Linked DNA regions of Neodiprion lecontei. The protein of the gene in region 2 purifies or fractionates together with the protein of the main gene of each other region. This does not show direct contact. Links are inferred from orthologs where the notes say so. Each region holds a gene or a part of one and is shown on either strand. Other genes may lie near its edges.

The links.
Region 1: the proteins of striatin-interacting protein 1 (region 2) and striatin purify together in Drosophila melanogaster (affinity purification with western blotting; 4 studies listed by BioGRID, with this or other methods). This does not show direct contact. The link is inferred for Neodiprion lecontei from reciprocal best matches to the Drosophila melanogaster genes Strip and Cka.

What each region holds. Positions count from the first base shown.
Region 1 is NC_060262.1:28,369,413-28,374,304, reverse strand, and holds the start of striatin, read right to left. Parts: upstream 3,044-4,892; 5' UTR 2,772-3,043; coding exon 2,478-2,771; intron 1,061-2,477; coding exon 957-1,060; intron 505-956; coding exon 325-504; intron 1-324. Other genes in the region: leucine-rich PPR motif-containing protein, mitochondrial, read left to right, coding at 3,587-3,729, 3,819-3,967, 4,391-4,513.
Region 2 is NC_060264.1:31,863,072-31,868,077, reverse strand, and holds the start of striatin-interacting protein 1, read right to left. Parts: upstream 3,177-5,006; 5' UTR 2,924-3,176; coding exon 2,819-2,923; intron 2,243-2,818; coding exon 2,126-2,242; intron 1,938-2,125; coding exon 1,654-1,937; intron 1,512-1,653; coding exon 1,333-1,511; intron 1,122-1,332; coding exon 808-1,121; intron 376-807; exon of another isoform or gene 352-375; coding exon of another isoform or gene 1-351. Other genes in the region: uncharacterized protein LOC124294738, read left to right, coding at 1-351; tubulin gamma-2 chain, read left to right, coding at 3,744-3,792, 4,178-4,380, 4,473-4,619, 4,709-4,845, 4,941-5,006.

The DNA.
Region 1 (4,892 bases), on a different chromosome or scaffold from region 2:
GCATAGAAAGTTCTGAATATTTTTATGTAACATATCAGTAACTTCATTAGCAGAAGGAAAAAAACAGTTGGTCATTTTTTCGAATGTGATGTAAACAATTAGAGCTGTTATTGCAATGAAATGGGTATCACTTATTCCTTATTTGTAATTAGAATAAGGTCACTACGGATATGTATTGGCCCTAGATATATCGCTATGCAAGTTTCAAGCTAAAATCATTCTATGGCTGAAGCAGCACCAAAACCAACTGTTGCTTTATAATATAAAAATATCGAATTTCCTATATTTATAACAAAATGACAATATGACGTGAAACATACTTACTGTCTCAGAAGCTGTCGGCCCTGCCGCCAGCTTATATTGCTAACAGAAGTAAATGGAGTCTCACCATCCCCTCCACCACCATCAGACCCACCGCAAGTACTTCCCTCGTCGTAAATGGGTGGCTTTATGTCTCCTTGTACCACGAGGTCAGTACCATACTTTAATTTGTGATATTTTGCCCTAGTTTTGTAAAGAATAACTATTTATTCAATTTATTTGAAATGAAGTGGAAAAGACGTATTGAATAAATGATAAATCTGACACTATGTGCGATGTTCTTATAATTGTAGCACATATTGTATCTTGATTATTTATAATTGAAAAATATTTAAACGTATTTTATTACAAAGTACAATTCATAAGAAATTTGCTAATATAAAAATTATCTATTACTTGAACATTGACATCCATATATTGAAACATATTGAATGAAAACTTAAAAAATTGTGTCTTTTATAAGGATTGATAATGAAACAGAAATCAGGAAAAAATGTCATTTCAAAGCATTATACCCCCACAAAAAATATCAGACTGCTTTTAATTTGGTTATACATCAGAATTTATAACATTGGTAATGATTCATTACTTTATCTCTAATGGCGAACTTTGACATTCTATTCATTTAAATTTACCTTTCTTGCTTTAGTACGTATTCCAACATTTTTATCCGTCGTACCAAGTCATTTTTTAAATTTTCTTGCCCCTTTCTTTCACCTTGTAGAAAGGCTATTCGGGCCTGTAAATTAAACATCCCAATAAAATTTCCTGGTAGGGTAGTCAATCAATCTTAAGTCTATGAAAATCTATATAACATTTTTCTAACAGAAGTTATGTTATAAAGCCGATGTTAGAAAAAACGCCCCATGAAGGTATTAAATTTTTATTTCATTGTAAAATTCATAGCCAAAGTTAGCAGCCGCAAGTGCAAAGGTTGATGAAGATGATCCAGTAAGACTCAACAATCAAAAGATCATTGAATTTCACGAATAGCTAATTGATTTACAAAACTATAGACATCAAATTATTGAAAATTACTATCTCTGAAAAGTTCCACATGTTTCGCTGTTAACTCTGGCTTCTGCTTCACTGCTACATTATCCCCTTACCAATTTTCATTGCAACAAAGTAATGAAGAACCTGAAATTTCATTGAAAAGTATGCTCATTTGAAATGCAAAGTTCAATAAGCCAGCTGTTTAATGAAAATATTGTCAGAAATATTGCGAATATTGATAATTGTGGCAGATGTGACTTGCTAAGCATCTTGTGTATAGATCTGTGTGAATGAATTAGCAAAAATTAATAGTTCAATTGCCAAACAGTTCATGATGTTAATAATTGTTCGTATACTCTTATTCTAACTTCTAAAGCATACTGTCACATAATTCGTTAATATTTTTCTGAATAGGTATTTAGAAGGAAAATTGATTTGAATAACTAACGTCCAGAGAATGTATCTGTGTTATTATCATTAAATATGATGTATTGTTTGAAATGTACATGCGTTTACTAGTGTTTGAATGATATAAAGTTAACTAGTGAGTGATTGTTACTGATGGTTAACATTGATACTTCGATTAAATTGCATCTGTTTGTGAATTAGTGACATGTAAAGAAACTTTATTCGTTACATTGAGAGGTGTTGTCAAGTTAAATATTGTAACCATGTTTGCATTACTTCTTGCAAGTAAAAATTCAATAATTACATTTCGCAGACTATCAGTGTCTCCAATGATTACACGTAAATCATGTGATATTGAAATTTGTTATTCTAGTAAATTTCATTCTATTATGAATCAGATAAATTAATAAAATGGATATGGATGTCAAATGTTATGAATTTGTTAAAACACGTTTGATGTAATAAAATTTACGACAATTATTGTATGGATACGTTGTAAATCAAATTTTGACACTTGACATCCGTTTGATATGTGACTAAAGTGTAAAAATTTTTTTGCAGTGTGCACAGTGTCATGAAACAAATCGTGCTACGAACTGTTTCGAACCTATTTGATATCAGAGCGACGACCGTCTTTGGCAGGCTCTTTATACAAATGGGCAAATAGGAAAATCATAAGGTATGAAGGCAATGTAAACACCTGCGATATATATTGGAATGTACTGACAAGTGAACAATGAATTCAGACAGACCTGAAATTCAGCTCTGTCGACTTCCCACTGGGATCTTTCGAGTTCGAAACGGGCCCATTCGTGCTGAATGAAATGCAGGATGCCTGGTATTGAATATTGCGGCCTTTGGTCACCATTGCTGCCGTCGCTACTTTGGGGCTTGTAGGACGTGTTCGCCCCGACTGCCAAGTTACCTAATTGTTCGTCATGACGGTCATGACCCATCAAAGTACCGCTGCTTTTATACTCCATTCTAATTCTAGGCTCCATAGTGACGACTTTAGCGTAAATTTGACTGGGCACCTTCATTTCCATGACATGGCAGCCATTACAGCAACTTCTTTCTTTCCTTCCCTACGAGCTGAGAGATTGACGTTCGATTCTATTCTACCTTTGCTTTGTTTGGTAATCGACGAACTAGGCTTACTGCACATGAATATGCAGCACATACGGTTTTCACAACAATTTATAACTCTCTATGTTTTTACACGGCTTCAATACAATTATTTACTGTCATTAATTCAGTCAAGTTAACCGAATAGTACGTCACTTGACGAGGTGCCTGTGATCGGACTACACAATGATACCAACCTCCACCCGATGAAAACAAATTTTGTCCGTTAAAAAATCGGCAACAAGACGTGCAACGGCTGCCTCAGATATTAGATTACGGCAACAGTACCGCGGAAAATAGAAGAACCTTACGTTTTATTGCAGATTATAGTTTAGATGGCGCGACAAGTTGGAAAATTTTCCACACCCGCAGCAAAGCAATCTTTACTCAACCGTCGATACCACGAAGACCACGAATACCTGACAAGGATTATCGAATTTAAAATGAGATTGCCTCTCCATTTTTTATGGAAGGATAAAAAACTGTAATGGAAAGTTATCAGTCATCGCCAACGCACATATCTATGATTTTGATGATGCTACAGGAGATGCCATCTATTGTGACTATATGGCGAGACACTATTCTCAAAGATCGCAAAGCTTTCTAGCCATCTGTGTTATTTGTGAGCGACCTCTCATGCTCTTTTCTGCTCTTTTCGGTGACTCCTTCATGTAACCCGGGCATCGTTATCCTGCGGAGATAGCAAATTGTTAAATCTATCTGCACATGTATAATAATGGCAACTATATTACGGTCATCAAAGTACTTCCGCAACTTTGCTGAACTTACGACAAAGCTTAGTTTCTCTCACGTGAAATATAATGCCTGTGTTACTCTTCTTTCTCAAAGGCACTGCATTGCACCTTCAACATTAGTCAAGTAAGTAAAGTTAATTTCAATATATTTTAATGCAATTACAGTCATGTTACACAGATAGCAATAAACCCGTTTCATTATTCACTCAAAAGGTCTCTGGCTACCCAAGTGGCTGTCAAACAAGTGGAAGGTGACTCTGCTCTTGAATTGTCCCTGCGAAGAGCTGAAGCTGATGTCAGGAAGTACGGACAGATACGTGGGACCAAATTGGATCAAATCTTTAAAATATTTCAATCTTCGAGTAAGTTGTTTTTTACTTTCACTGTTTATTCAATTGAGACAATATCTTGTATGTGTGTATGCAGTACTAAATAACTGTTTATTGGTTCATAAGCTTATCAAATTCATTCCGCAGTCTTGGGGTTTATCTGCATACTTGTACCTAGATATTGAATTGTAATTCTAGGTTTTATCTTAAATTCCTATCATTGACAAATTTCCAAATCTTGATATATGTTAATGTCGTATTATATTTCATTTTCATCAAATAAATTAGCTCAACATGTGCAGTGAGAATTGATAGTTTTGTTTTAAATGATATTTTTCATGTATTTACATTGTTTAGGATTTAAATTTAATTTACTTTGAATTTATGTTTTGGCTAATACCCACTCACTGTTATTGCAGATAGAATTCATACCTAATGTTTACATGAATTTTGCAGAATCTGTTAGTAGTACCCAAGCCCTTATGCTCTTACGATGTTGCGGAAACTTGGTGGCTAGTGAATTACCAGAACACAAATCTGAAATTGCTAATCGAATATGGGAAAGCTTGAAAAATTCAGGTATGTTCTTTAAGGTGCAGTATGGTATACATGGGGTCGAAAATCATAGAAAGTGTAGAAATTAATATTGAATTTTTCAGAAGAGTTCAAATTGTGAAAATAGCTTTGAATATTATTTCTCTTGCATATTATTTTAGATCTAACACCACAAGTTGAAAAGTATGTATACATATTATTTTATCTGGACGAGTTTGAAATTTAACACTTAAATGTAATACGTATATACAGAAAAGCAATTTAGTTAATGTAACCAGAATAAGACTAAAATTTGCTACTTAAGTAATATTTCTTTTTTTTCTTCCGATGAATCACATAATATCTAAGTGGTATTTGATTTTCATGTCTCATGGGTGGCTCATGTTTATACTAATGTTTTTTA
Region 2 (5,006 bases):
CTTGATGATGTTTATCTATTAGAAGAGCTAACCAGATGCTATTTATCTGAAGAAGAAATTTTAACCAGCTGGAAAAGTTTTTCAGCAGCTTTAGAAAGATTCTGGGACAATGAGACAGTTGCAGGAATGTTAAAAACGCTTCGACCATTGAACGGTTTCGTATCACAGAACGTAATGAGACAGTTGTCACATGCAGGAATATCTTACGATTTACTCGTAAGCACCTATAGACATGATGGGAAACATGCGACAATATCATTGATAGAAGAAAGGGTGAATGGCAAGCCGACAGTTATAAAACAGCAAAAAGATGTAAACCAAATTATTGAATATTTGCAGATGGTAAATTAAAGTTTCCGATGCATAATCCATACAGACTCCGTATATTATTTAGCCTATATGGTTTATCAAAGTTTCTGTTATTTCTACATTTTATATAAGATTATGAATTGCTTTTTTGTTCCAATTAATACGAAGATTATTGTATTCGTATAAACAACTTGTTGAGAATATCAAATATATAGATTGACTAAAATCATACGAAGCCTTTCGATTGCTTATTATAAGTTTTCACTTCGAACATTATGTGTTCTTTAAGGATTAAGTAAAACAGGTAGCTTATACAGGAATATCAACAACGCACGTTTGCAAGACCTAGTTCGCTCAATGATCACATTGCATCTGATTTATACGCTCAAAGTCCACATGACCAAAAGACCAAACGGATCTGCTTATCAGCTCAAGAAGAAGGAATATACAGCACATAACCGAAGAATAATCAAAGGTAAGTAGAATGAAAAAACTTACTCTACGGAAAGATCGACCGCTTCTTTTCTGATTCTGTGTTTCAAGCAGATCAGCGGCGCTAGCAGGTGGCGAACAAGATCTCATTCCCTTGGCGATTTCTATCGTGTCTTCCTCCTGAATATCCAATCCAGCTTCCGCTCTGTAATTGGCTTTCAATTCCCTTAAAGTTTCAATGCCACCAAGCGACACTAGGATAACTTTCCAGAGAAGCAGAAGGACCTTTTTCATGGGGAAATGTGACGCCGAACCGCTACAAAACCGTGTTGCCATTCCGAGAAGTTTCACCGCCAGTAATTCTTCTCCGTATGGATTTACTATATACAGAATGAAAATAAAAACACTTTTGTAGCACTTATAGCAGTCTAAGAAAGGTTTATGCAATCAGAGTATGGTGTATTTTTAATTATGATGGACAATAAGAACTGTAAGAAAAGATTGTCAAAACAAAAGACAGAAGAAATATTAGAGGAAGGAACAGATTGTTGGTTTGAAAATTGAGTAGAGAAATTCAAGAATTTGACGTACTGAGTTCTTCCTTAAAAGCTTCAACATTTTTTTTGTAAGGACTCTTCTCTATATCAAGAGCCTCGACCCTCATCACTTCGGTAATGATGTAGAGAACAGATAGAATCACTCTGAGGTCAACCGAATCCGCCAAACTCACAGCCAACTTCCGTGAAGCTGACGTAGCCGCTGCACTGTTTCTAGAAATGAAAAGGCAAGCATAATAATATTGGTAATAGCCTGAGCCTTCCTGGATCCCATTGTAATTATAAAATTTACCACCAGGTACAAAAACGACGCACAGAGGAAAGACTATGAGTTTAAAAAAGCTAGCAAACTGACTCAATCTCGATGTTGAGCAATTCCACAAATGCTGGAAAGACTCCAGCCTCGTACAGCAGCATGACATTCGTCCTCGTCCAGTCCTGTTGTTCCTTGTCTGACTGTACTTCTGCCCAGGATCCTTGAGCCAGGTAGAGAATTGCACAGGCAGCTTTCATTCTGATCTGCTTATTCGACACTTCAAGCTGGTCCAGCAGCTTGTAAATTATAGATCTCTGCTGTGAGGTTGGATGTGTTTGCCACCAAGGTTGCAGTTTGTACTGTTCCATCTGCTCTTCAAATGCCTGAAGCAATGGTTGCAAAAAATATTCAAAATAATAACCAACATTTGCATTGATTCAAAAATTGAGATGTGTATTTTGCATATATATCTACTTTAAAAAAGAGCCATGATTTGATTTATAGTTTCATCCATCATTTCATAATCTAAATCTAATTCAATATTTATACGTTCAAAGTGAAGATATATTACTTTAAGATTATACATGAGCTCATGTTTTTCTGTATAACTATACAGCTCTGCAATTTCATTGGCATGGGTGTCAGCATCGTCATAGACGAAATCCAAGTCAGGAGTTTCGTAGTCATCCTGAAAGAATAAGTATAAAGATGAAGACTTTGCGCTGATAACTTGAGCAGTGAGATCTGGTCATAATAAAGCTTGGAGGATCCGGGCTAATTGCTGTTAAATATCATGTCACTTTTAAATGGTCACAACATGTACCAAAAAAGGTTTAGAAATGTCTGAAAACTATTTCAAACTTATGAGAAATTGTTCGATATCAATTTAGAAGTTTGTCATAGACATATGATCCGAAGAGAGATATTTCGGACTTCCCTTATAACATAATCGGTGCATTTTAAGCTACCATGTGTGTGGATTGCATGGATTTTGTCACAATATCAATAAAACGGGATTACAGTCTAATTGAAATGAAATGGAAAATCGTACTGAAATTTAGGGATTCATGAATCAATTTTTTGCTAACTAGTTGACTGACAATCAGCGGTCGCGTATCACTGAAATTCTATTGCGGCCGACTACCTTTGGCATAAATACAATGAATACAAGGTTAGGTTTAGGTTGCACGAGAAGTGATAGTGAAATTTTCTGAGAAACAAACCGCTATTTTCCAACGAATTAATTAATAAGTAGAACACTTACTTCGGAATAATCTTTGTTCGGTTGGTGCTTAAGTTCACGATATTTTCGAGGCGTTATTACGGGGCCCTTTTCGTTAAAATTCGTGTCGAACGTAAATGACGCCATAGTCTATCTTCCTAAACAGCTGTACGTTGTCGTTTCTACTTTTTATTGTTTTTAAAACATACAACATGTCACATAAATGTTTAGAAAACCGATGGCGCGGTGATCAAAAATCTTCTATCTTGGGTCACAATTCACAATCTTTTTCTTCACTTAACGCTTTCCCTGCGTTAATACCATAGACTTGAGACGGTTAATATCACTATTTATTGTTCCTTGTTTATTCCTTCTACAGGATTGTTCGCTTTTCGTTCCAACATCTATTGTTAACTTACATATCTAGGTTCATCGCATGATCCATGGTGTGTGTATGTTGGTGGGTTGGTGGCCGCAAGCCGAAACTTTGAAAAGGGCTGAAACTCTGATTCAAATTCGATTGAACGGTTGATAAACAATTGACGTGCTATAATTATGCACGGATCTCGTGAAAAATTAACAAAGGCCTTGTGGTTTACCAGATTGTAAAGTTGAGCTTAACAATAATGTTTTTCACGGGCGTTGGAGCATGTCAATTATTTATTTTACGTTTCAATCGAATTGAATCAGAGATCTAACCCATTTCATAGTTTTCACTTGTGGTCACCAGTAAGCGCTGCAGACACCTAACATAAGTTAAGCAAGAGGCTCGATGAGAAATTGTCGAAATCTGGTAACAGTGCTACAGTCGAGTCTGTAGTTACCGGAGAGAGGCGCGCGTTTGAATTTAATCAGCGTCCTAAAAGTCAACTGTCAAAAAACAGTAGTAAACAAGGATTGAGGTGAATCTCATGTCGAGACGTTTATTCAGGTTATTTTGTTCGCTGCGGTATAAGCAAGAGTAAAAATGCCGTGTGAAATGATAACCTTACAGCTGGGCCAATGCGGCAACCAGAGTGAGTATTTTTCGAGTATTGAGAGACACCTGAAATGCACTAATTTTCCCATTTTGGAGGTTATGTTCTAGATAATCTAAATTGCTTTTCCGGCTAGCATTCAATTCATAATTGATGCCCATTTTGCAACATTTTCATGTTATACTTTCTTTAATATTCTTATTTTTGGTCAGTTGCTCAATTTTGTAACAAAGTCCTCATAATTGGCAGTATATTTGTGTCTATTGCTTATCGCTCTTAAGATCATACAAATTGCTCATTTATCCATGCCTTTGCACTTCAACATCTTATCCCTCACTTATTTTGCTAACTATAATTCTTTCCACACCTTATTATGAGAGGAATATGTGTTACTGATCCAAAATCGTTTGAACTTTTCTTTCAGTTGGTTTTGAATTCTGGAAAAGACTTTGTGCAGAGCATGGAATTAATCCTGAAGGGATTCTTGAGGATTATGCAACAGAAGGAACAGACAGAAAAGATGTCTTTTTTTACCAATCGGATGACGAACACTATATACCACGTGCTGTACTTTTGGATTTGGAGCCTCGAGTTATACATACGATCATGAACTCGCCCTACTCTAAGGCTGGTATCATTTTAATACATTCACATTAATTTTCCAGTATATCTGTTACTTTTCCAGTAATTAATAACAACTTCATTGTCGATGTTCACAGCTCTACAACCCTGAGAATATATATTTATCAAAACACGGAGGTGGAGCAGGCAATAACTGGGCGTCGGGTTACCACCAGGGTGAGAAACTACAGGAGGAAATCTTTGACATCTTGGACAGAGAAGCAGATGGGAGCGACAGCTTGGAGGCAGGACAACTGTTACACTTCAGCAAATATCAAATACTTTACGTCACACATGAACTTCTCTTTATTGTAAACAGACTGATTGATTTCAGGGATTCGTTTTGTGCCATTCAATTGCCGGCGGGACTGGCTCTGGTATGGGTTCGTTCATGCTGGAAAGCTTGGCTGACAGGTTTCCAAAAAAGTTGATAGAAACTTACAGCGTGTTTCCCAATCAGGATGAGATCAGGTGATTTTCTTTAAACTGGTTTTCACTACAAATTTCAAAGTTAAACTTACCAAGGCTCTAATGTTTTCACATCAACTTTCTTTGTCTTGACACAGTGATGTCGTCGTGCAACCGTACAATTCGTTGCTTACTCTGAAGAGGTTGACACAATGCGCAGACTG